3 linked regions of the Daphnia pulex genome follow. The protein of the gene in region 3 binds, or shares a complex with, the protein of the main gene of each other region. Links are inferred from orthologs where the notes say so. Each region holds a gene or a part of one and is shown on either strand. Other genes may lie near its edges.

Region 1 (2,543 bases), about 9.3 Mb from region 3:
TTATTCTGTGATTTTCAATCAAGTGCACCAGATGTTTTATCCCAACATATTGCATCTCACAGTAACTTTGATTTTCTGGGCCTGAAAAAGAGCTTTAGTATCTATCAGCAAATTAAGATTGTCAACTACGTCAGGAGACAAGTGCATGAAAAGAAATGCATACTTTGCGATGAGCAGTTTGAATCCCGGGATAAACTGAGAGAGCACATGCAAAACTTCAGTCACTTTAAACTTCCCGATCGGGCAGTTTGGGATCAGTCACAGTAAGCCGGATACATTCAAAATTTTCTATTTGTGGATCCTATTTTATTGGATAAACTTTTAGGTACTACTTTCCAACCTATGAAAATGATGCTCTTCTTTGTTTGCTAGAAGATACCATTCCAGATGATTCTACTGAAACCGACCAAGTAAATTATATTAAGTCTGATTTTTATTAATGTAAAAACTTGTTTTCATGATTTTTCATTTAATTAGGTAACAGTGATCCCTGAAGACACCATCATAAACCTTAAAGTAGTTGAAGAAGAACTGCTTAAACTAGAGCTAATTGTAAAAAAATGAATGATTCTACAAAGCTGTAAAAAAGATTGTATTTCAAGTGATCATGATGGAATAATGCAAACTTTAATGGTGGATTTGAGCTAGTGGTTCTGCTCTTATTTCTGATAAATTGAGTCTGGAATCAAGTTCATTATCAATTTCCCCAATTAAAACTCTGAAATTACAACAAGAAATAGTTATGATTGAGTTATTTTACAGCTAATAAGTGGATGAAACATACACATTGTCTCCTCTGATGATGTGCAGTCCCAGTTGGACTTGTTCAACTCCCTGGGTAGAACTAAACACTCTCTCATGACTGTCGTCAATGATAAGGTTGATAGTCTGATCGAATCCTTTAAGAATACCCTGTAAAAAGAATACATTGAAATTATTTCAAACGGTTTATTGAGTGAGGATGATGCCTTGTGATCGGGCGTTACAACTTACAATAAAATTCCTCCCATCACTCGTGATAACACATACGGAACCTGCGAACAAGAAAGATACAATTTTTCAGTGAATAATAAACAATATAATAATTAAAACTCACGATTAACGTAAGAATCTAACGTTGATGCCATGATTTCTTCACTCGCTTCACTTTGTATTTGGCTTGTAAAAATCGTCTGCAATACAGCGTTGCCGTTTATTTTACTTTAATATCAACAAAGTATTTTCATTCATTCTATTCAGATTTAATTCATACAAACTGTAGTAAACTTATGTTTCAGTGATTAATGATTTCGATAGAGTAATATAATTTTTGTTTATGTATGGAAATTGGTTATTTGAAAAAGACTAAAGAAATCGAGAAGGGGTGCCTGAGGCTATTTTCCCGAGACGTTAATCAAATGGTTGGTGAGGAGAAGAACTCAGCAGGCTAGAGTTTTGATGAATCGTTTTCTTTGGCCATCAAATAAATTTGAAAATCAGATAGGCCCTACATTTCCATTATGCGGTATAATTCTTTATTTGGTCGGTTTTGAGGTATTAACATTAAACGAAATAATATATTAGCGTGACTAACCCCAGCCCAATTTTGTTAAATCTATTTATTTTAAATATACATGTCCATTAAATAAAGTACCGTCTGTCATTTTTAATGACATCATTTTTTACATTTGATTGCAATCAAAACGAAATATGGCATGTCACGTACACACACGCAAACGTCGTCTGCTCTTTGCAGAAAATTGCCGATTTGAAATATTTTGATGTCCGACTTTTAATGGTTGAATATTTTAGCATCGAGATATGGTGCTTTATCTGGTCAATATTCGTGCAGTTTTGAAGCGCGCAATTCCTTTAAGTGCTACTTGTTCCCATTCAAGAAGCACATGCTCAACTCCCGCAGAGACCCGCGGGATCTCTCCAAATTTAGAATTCTCTCCCGACTGCGATGAAGCGACGAGGCAAATGCTTGAGAAAGACTTTCAAGTCTACAAAGATTTCATCAGTGCTGAAGAAGAGAATAACCTATTGGAAGAGTTGGAGGTGAAGTTCAAAAGGTCCCGGTATCAGTATGACCATTGGGATGATGTAAGTCTGAAATTTCGTGTTCACGTAGGTTGTCTGACTGTTGAATGACCACCATTTGTTATTCGAAACCCAAAAGGCTATCCACGGATACAGGGAAACAGAGAAACCTACTTGGAATCAAGTCAATGACTGTGTTATAAATCGGTTGAGAGCTTTTGCCTTTTCAACTACCACGATGCAGCATGTCCATGTGCTTGATTTAGCTGAGAATGGTCACATCAAACCACATCTGGACAGCATAAAGGTATGATAGATGACAGCGTTTGGAAATTATCATTCTAATCTATTCGTATATTTCTCTAAACATAGTTTTGTGGCCCCACCATATCGGGCATATCTCTGCTCACAGCCAGTGTGATGAGGCTCATACATATACAGCGACCCCAAGTCTTGGTCACGGCACTATTACCGAGAAGATCATTGTATATAATGAAGTAATTATCTATGCAAAATAGAGC
Region 2 (4,190 bases), on a different chromosome or scaffold from region 3:
GATGCCAGGAGCATTTTCGCCATCATAGGATCAACGGGGAATTCAGCCATCCGCCTGCCCAGCTTGGTCAATTCGCCCATGTGGTTCAGGGCTCCTAGAGCGTAGAGTTGTTCCAGTGCCAAAGCCAAAGTCTCGTGCGGAGGCGGATCCAAAAAGTCGAAGTGAATCAAATCGTTGATTCCAAGTGATTTGAGAAGCAGAACGACGTTGCCTAAATTAACTCGCTGAATTTCTGGCACAGTGTTCTCTTCAAGCTCGTGCTTGTAGGCCCATGCTGTGTATAGGCGGAAACATTTGCCAGCTGCTACACGTCCAGCACGTCCAGCTCGTTGATTCGCCGACGCTTTCGAAATAGGAACGACAACAAGGGATTCCATGCCAGTTCGGGCATTATAGGAATTTTGCTTGCAAAAGCCTGGGTCAATGACGAAGATAATGTTGTCAATAGTCAAAGACGTTTCTGCGATATTCGTAGCCAGAATGCATTTCCGTGCTCCGGGAGGCGTTGGCTCGAAAATTTTTGCCTGGCAAGAGAAAATGAAAAGATATGAAAAGGATAAACTTTGAATAAGCAAAAACGAACCTGCATGTCTGACGGTAAATTTGCGTAGATAGGAAGAATAAGCAACTCTTTGATCCTGGTGCCCAATCTTCGAGTACGTTCCGTCAGACTCTCCAGTGCCGTTTCAATTTCTTCTTGACCAGTAAGAAAGACAAGAATGTCACCCGAGTCTTGTGTGACGTGAATCTGTAGAATAGTGACAACGCAAGCATCGATATAATCAGCCTCAGGAGCTTTGGTGTAAAAAATTTCGACTGGGAATCTTCGACCGGGAATCCTAAATATAGGAGCTTCGTCGAAGAAATCGGAAAACTTTTCAGCGTCCAATGTAGCACTGGAAATTAGCAGCTTCAGGTCAGGTCGAAACCGTGCAATATCCTGAAAGAATTTATAGGAAATTATTCAACAATTTAAGAGTTGTTGTGTAAGGACGGCTCACCTTGATCAGCCCAAAAAGAATATCGGTATGGAGTGTTCGCTCGTGGGCTTCGTCAATAATCATGACACTATAGCTCTGCAAATCGGGCTCAGAGAGAAATTCACGCAGCAACATACCGTCAGTCATGTACTTGATAACAGTCCTCTCTGACGTGCAATCTTCAAATCGAATGCTGTAGCCTACTTCGTTACCGAGTTTCTTGCCCATTTCCTGTAAACGGAATCGCACAAAATAAGATCCTTGTCAAGATTACAATTCTTGATTGAATTCTACCTGGGCGACACGAGCAGCAACACTCATGGCTGCAACTCGACGTGGTTGGGTACAACCGACTTTCTTGCCATCTTTACAGTATCCCGCTTCGTACAGATACTGGGGAATTTGCGTCGTTTTTCCTGATCCAGTCTCTCCTTCCACGATCAGGATCTGATGGTCTTCGACGGCTTGGAGTAAGTCTTCGCGAAACGGAAATATTGGAAGCGATTTCCTCGTATCCTGAAGAGACATTTTCTTTTTCTGGATGTCGCTTACCTCAGGTTGTTCTAATATAGTTAAAACGAAAAAAAAAGGTGGAGGGATAAGATTATTAAACATTTATTCAGAAGGTTTTAGGTGTGTTACTTTACCTTCGATACCCTTGGTTCCTGCAAGTTGGTTTGTTTGGATAAAGTCAATGGTGTCATCCAATAAGAGGTCATAATCATGAACTTTTCCCTTCTCCTGAAGACGCTGTTTTGCATCTCTGGCACCGAAATTCCACTGAGCAGTGGCCATGCGAGCATCTTCCCAAACTTTTTGTTCGGAATGAGGTTGCTTTTCACGGTCATCTATCTCGACGTACCTATCAGGCATTGCTTTGTCCCGCTTATCATCGGGCATATGGTATCGTTGAACCAATTCCAATTCTCGTGCTTTGTCATGTTCTTTCGCAAGACTGAGAATTTTTTTCTTGTATTCGCGATCCTTTCGTTCACGCTCCGTGAGTTGTTGCTCATCGAACAAGTACTCATCGTCGAAAATATCTGCTTCCAATTCATTAATCTTGTCTCCTTTTCGCTTCTCCAAATATTTTCGACGTGATTCCACTCTGAGTTTGGGAATAACGCTGGCTTTGTCTTCAGCCTCCATTTGAAGCCTCTTTGCAGCTTCAGCAAAACCTAGATAATTTAAACATTTTATTTTAATAGTTATTACAAATATTAAATAGTAAATATACCTTTTCCCACAGTAACCACATTCCTCTGTTTATCTTTATCTTTGAGTTTAAGACGTTCAGAGAACTCATCTCTTTCCTTCAAATCTTTGACTCGTTGTTTTTCATCTTCATCTTCACTGCTTGAATCAGACTTCTTCTTTTCCTTCTTGATCTTTTTATTTACTGGTGGTGGAGGTGGTGCCATTCCTTCTTCATCGCTGTCTTCTATCAGCTTATATCTCTTGTTTTTTTCGATCATTGCTAACATGGCTTGTTCTTGTTGCTTGGCGGCAATTCTTTCAACATTTACTTTAGGGGCAGCTCTCGGAATCTTTCCCCATAACTCTGATAGAAAACTCATCACTTTTGCATTTGTCACATCGATAGTGTCTGTGAAACGAACTTTTTCGATAAGTTCATTCACTGAAGAACTTTTATGAGCCAGGGATGTCAAAAACTGAGAAGTATAGCGGTCACTGAAGTCCAATATCTCGATTAACTGATCGCTAACCCACGTTTCTAAACTCATTTTTAAATGTTTATTAGAAACGAATTTGTAAACAAGGCATTAATAACGTTGAGTCCGTCTGAACTTGCCGGACAAGCAAAAAAGCTACAAGATCTTCCACGGCAAACGAAGCAGACTAACTTGTGGAGTCAAGCCTAGCGGTCAAACAACACAGTCTTCACCAGTGAACTGATACTGATCCGATTCCGTGTCGTTAAAAAACGGATTTTTTGAGGGTTGTAGAACGGATTGGTTTCCGTTCTCTTACGCTAGAGTCGCATGAAGGCAATAACGTTATGCCTACCCTCTAGCGCCTCTAGCTGATTCATAATCGGATTCGTTTCAGTTAACCGATTTTTGACAAATCAACGCGTTTTTCAAATCAGTGAGCGGACCCGTTTCCGTTCACAGATTCGTTTCAGTTTATTATCAACTTGTTTTTTATAATAAGAAGCCGAAACCTTTCCATTATTTGAACGGCTTCGTTTCCGTTTCCATATCACGTTTTTAGTAAACAAATAACTATTTGCTTATTAGAATATTAACCGATTTTAATTGTGTTATTGAAAAGCAAAACAAACAAAATGTCGTCGGACAAGAATTAAGTGATCTGTTGAGAGATGCAAAAGGAGTGAAACAGGTTTGTTGTTAAAAATTTGACAGCTTATTTGTAGCCAACGATTTGATTCTCACAGAGCTTCTAAGTTATTAACTATTGTTGAGGAAAGAATTTAAATTTCTAATCTTAATCTTGTTTAATTTCTATTCCTACAACTATTTCTTTGTCTAGCAAAAACTGAGAAAGTTAATTTCGTCAGCACAGCAGCACCCAGTGACCCAGAAGGAAGGGATTGTTTTGATATCAAAACAATTCAACCTTCCTGCAGTAAACTGAAGCCTGACAAGATTCATTTAAGAGGCTGATGGAAACAGAAATATTGTGTTAGAGACTTCTGTACCAAATCCATATGGAATTCACCTTTACAACCTGCTTGAATAAGACGTTGAACAGAAGAACCTCATCTAGTCTCGTCATCACTCTCATCTGTGTTGGTAATTTAATGATCAAATTTATAAGTGACAACACTTCTGTAACCAGATCCCTTCCCTCAGGCTGCAGAGCTAAAGTTGGAATGTCTGTTGTTCAATCTCCAACGTGAAAGACCAGTCATTGGAGATTCTTTGAATTCAGACAATGTTCGAGTCAGAACTCATAGATATCCTTTACCAGCAGCACTACTACAGATTATTGCAACGAAACAAAAGGCTGAAACAACTAAAGGGAATCTAATCGTATTTCTTTTTATCTTACTCTAATGATGCATTGTTTAAACTATTTGTGATTCTGATTCAGGTGGACCGGCCTCAGAATTATTGCTCATTGATTGGGCTGAAAGGATTGAATGGCAAGGCATACCAAGCACTTCGAATACTTTGATTTCATTAGGCCTACTTTCAATTTAAACTTTCATTTCATGTAAATTTT
Region 3 (2,886 bases):
TAGCTATGGTAAATCAAATGCATGGTGGAAATACCAAGAAGGTTTTATCAATGAAATGAACAAAATATTTAATTAAGATAACAGGAATTACAAGTCTTCTTGCTAAAGAAATCAAGAGTGCTGAAACCTTAAAAATACCTGTATAAGGAAGTTTTAAAACTGTTGGATTGGCAGAAGAAGCATCTTGTGAAGATCTTTCCCCTTTATTCAATCCTGAAGCTGCCTCCAATAATCCAATTGCAGGGGATGGCGAAGAGGGCTGTGGATGTAATGTTGGATTCAATAAGGAAACTCCGATGACACCATGACTTGCAGAGCGAACATGTCCCTTAACTCCACCCGGCCAACCCCTGCTTGGCAGGGGGTTGACAGTTTCAAGCTCTATTGGGGGTTGCATCACATCAGGAAAAATGTAGGTGGTACCCGGTGAATCAAAATCCATACCGTCCCTGAAAATGAGAGAGTACCAAATTCAATTACAATTGAATTTCTTTAACCATTCACGAAACTAACTGTCAAGCTTGTGACTACCAACAACCAACTCAAAATCAACACAAACTTCTGAGCAATGGAAAAGGGAGAGTTATTTACTCACCAAACATCTTATTTCAATATTGCTGAAAAAGACAAGTCAGCTTTTGTTTTCAAAAAATGTCCATGGCAGACTAAAATCAACAAATCGTCTTAACAGTGGAACGATTGTTCGTTTATTTGGTCCAATGATGGAACCCAGTGAGGAAATGGAAGAAAAACAATCGGTTGGAAAGTGACGTCAACTTTAAAAAAAGTGCAAAAAGATGAAAGAATGGTAAGATAGAGTTTAGTGTCAGCAACTGAGCAACTTGTTGTGTGTCCACGTATATAACGGCAAATTCCAGCTGTGCACTGCTTTCAGCCTCTGCTGCATACACCGTACAAGCTTTACTGCCAGATTTTACACTCGGTAACCGATAATAAAGGAAATTGCGCGGAATGGACACCGGAGTGAAATAAGAAACCGGTTTGTTGACCGTTTAAAAGCTTCCAAAATGTAAAATTGAACCTAAAAAGTCTTTCTGTATCAAGACAAACTGTGATAAATTCCTATCTTTTTAATTCCGCGAAACGCAAAACCCTCTTTTATTACTTTTTAGAGAGCGCTAATTCTGGTTGTGAAGCTTCTCTGTTCTTGCCAATTTGTTAAAAAGACTTTTCATATCCACGACCACGAGTCACTTATTAAACAAAATCACTTAATAACGATACATAAAAAAAAATTCTCCTTTGGTTGTAAATTTTTCCAGCTATTATGATTGAAAACAGAATAGGTGACGTGAGTTTTTGGTCCGGAACCAGAGATCCGGGATCGTTGCTCTACGATGGATATCTCATTACATTACATCAAAAAATTATTTAAATAATCCTATTTTATAAGGTAATTTTAGTTCACTAGTTATTAGGTTTAAATATGTAAATTTCTTTCCTACAAAATGGAAAAACTTTCTCAAAATTTGATGTACTTAATAAGACGACTTGGCAACCCTTACTTCTGATCTTTACGTTACAGAACGTGTAAACTGAAATAACGCGGCTTGACTCGCTTGTCAAACATTCAATCAAATTTTGTAAAATCGTTGACTAAAACAAATACAAATCATGGCAGTAAGTTCAAAACCTAAATCTTGTTGGGTGGTCCTTTTTAGCCGACCATTTACTAACATGTTATATTTCATATTTTCAGGCACCCATGCCCATCAATCCCAAACCCTTTCTCAATGCCTTAACCGGCAAACCGATTATGGTAAAACTGAAGTGGGGCCATGAATACAAAGGTTATCTCGTTTCAGTTGATGGATACATGAATCTTCAGGTACTGTAATAATTATACCATGTAGTGCATTTTCATCAGTAAAAAAATGAAAACATGCTGTTGCACGAAACAGTGTGCATATATGAACAATGGCAATAATTCTTCTTATATTATCACAGTTGGCAAACACAGAAGAATATATTGATGGAAGCTGTACTGGAAACTTGGGTGAAGTTCTTGTCAGGTGCAACAATGTACTTTACATACGTGGAGTGGAAGAAGATGATGAGGAGGGAGAAATGAGAGATTGATTGCTGTTTGTATTGAATTTTTCATCCTTTAATACATAATGTCATTTCCTATCTATCTCATAGAAGTTATTGTATAGGAAACCTGGAAACCCTAAAAAATATGTTCTGGTGTATACATTACAAGATTCCCACAGACAACGAAGGACAAACAAGTAAAAAAACAGCTTTTCAGTATCCAAATTCCAAACACAGAACCGTTGTCTACCGTATTGGTGATTTAATGTTAAGTATACTGGAATTTCTTACGTTCCGGCGATTTTTTCCATTTAGTCGGAAAATAAAGGCTTTGTCTAAATGGAAAATGGTTAAGCTACCTTATGAATGAAGTTAGTAGGCAGCCCGCAGTCCCGCATGCTCGTAAAACTCAAGTCACATTTCTTTTCCACTTACACCAACTTGTTCGTAAATATATTTTGTAAGGTATAAATCAAAAAGGCAAACAAATCCGGAAACACCTTTTCCGATTGGCTCACGCTGGTACCAGCTGATGTCATAAGAATACCTAATTGCTTATGAATATTAATTGTTCAATACGTTTCAATTGGCCTGCATGTAACACGGCTGTTAACACTATAGGACGGTAAGCATGCGCAAGTTATCACTGTCGTTTGAACGTTAGGGGAGTTATAGGCTGTTGAACTCCGAGATGAATTACTACGGTTTGAAACAAATAATAAACATTGTACAAATGTACGTTCCTAACTAGACAACGAAGATTAAAACGTTACTGTCAGGATCACATTTAAGCAGGCGCAGGTGATGAGGTCAGTCAACTTCTTGGTTTTT

The links.
Region 1: small nuclear ribonucleoprotein F (region 3) and U6 snRNA-associated Sm-like protein LSm8 share a complex: the UniProt entries of both Homo sapiens proteins name them as parts of the U4/U6-U5 tri-snRNP complex. The link is inferred for Daphnia pulex from reciprocal best matches to the Homo sapiens genes SNRPF and LSM8.
Region 2: small nuclear ribonucleoprotein F (region 3) and pre-mRNA-splicing factor ATP-dependent RNA helicase DHX16-like share a complex: the UniProt entries of both Homo sapiens proteins name them as parts of the minor spliceosome. The link is inferred for Daphnia pulex from reciprocal best matches to the Homo sapiens genes SNRPF and DHX16.

Annotation. Positions count from the first base shown.
Region 1 is NC_060019.1:331,141-333,683, reverse strand, and holds U6 snRNA-associated Sm-like protein LSm8, read right to left. Parts: upstream 1,207-2,543; 5' UTR 1,128-1,206; coding exon 1,097-1,127; intron 1,035-1,096; coding exon 994-1,034; intron 913-993; coding exon 785-912; exon of another isoform or gene 719-784; coding exon 628-718; 3' UTR 576-627; downstream 1-575. Other genes in the region: zinc finger protein 277-like, read left to right, coding at 1-263, 326-410, 478-564; alpha-ketoglutarate-dependent dioxygenase alkB homolog 7, mitochondrial-like, read left to right, coding at 1,801-2,085, 2,162-2,329, 2,395-2,519. UniProt on the Homo sapiens protein: Plays a role in pre-mRNA splicing as component of the U4/U6-U5 tri-snRNP complex that is involved in spliceosome assembly, and as component of the precatalytic spliceosome (spliceosome B complex).
Region 2 is NC_060022.1:5,692,057-5,696,246, forward strand, and holds the start of pre-mRNA-splicing factor ATP-dependent RNA helicase DHX16-like, read right to left. Parts: upstream 2,876-4,190; 5' UTR 2,726-2,875; coding exon 2,218-2,725; intron 2,159-2,217; coding exon 1,628-2,158; intron 1,544-1,627; coding exon 1,275-1,543; intron 1,212-1,274; coding exon 1,002-1,211; intron 941-1,001; coding exon 584-940; intron 525-583; coding exon 1-524. UniProt on the Homo sapiens protein: Required for pre-mRNA splicing as a component of the spliceosome. Contributes to pre-mRNA splicing after spliceosome formation and prior to the first transesterification reaction.
Region 3 is NC_060019.1:9,593,549-9,596,434, forward strand, and holds small nuclear ribonucleoprotein F, read left to right. Parts: upstream 1-1,494; 5' UTR 1,495-1,635; coding exon 1,636-1,641; intron 1,642-1,720; coding exon 1,721-1,849; intron 1,850-1,968; coding exon 1,969-2,100; 3' UTR 2,101-2,109; exon of another isoform or gene 2,110-2,151; intron 2,152-2,163; 3' UTR 2,164-2,345; downstream 2,346-2,886. Other genes in the region: phospholipid-transporting ATPase VD-like, read right to left, coding at 139-442. UniProt on the Homo sapiens protein: Plays a role in pre-mRNA splicing as a core component of the spliceosomal U1, U2, U4 and U5 small nuclear ribonucleoproteins (snRNPs), the building blocks of the spliceosome.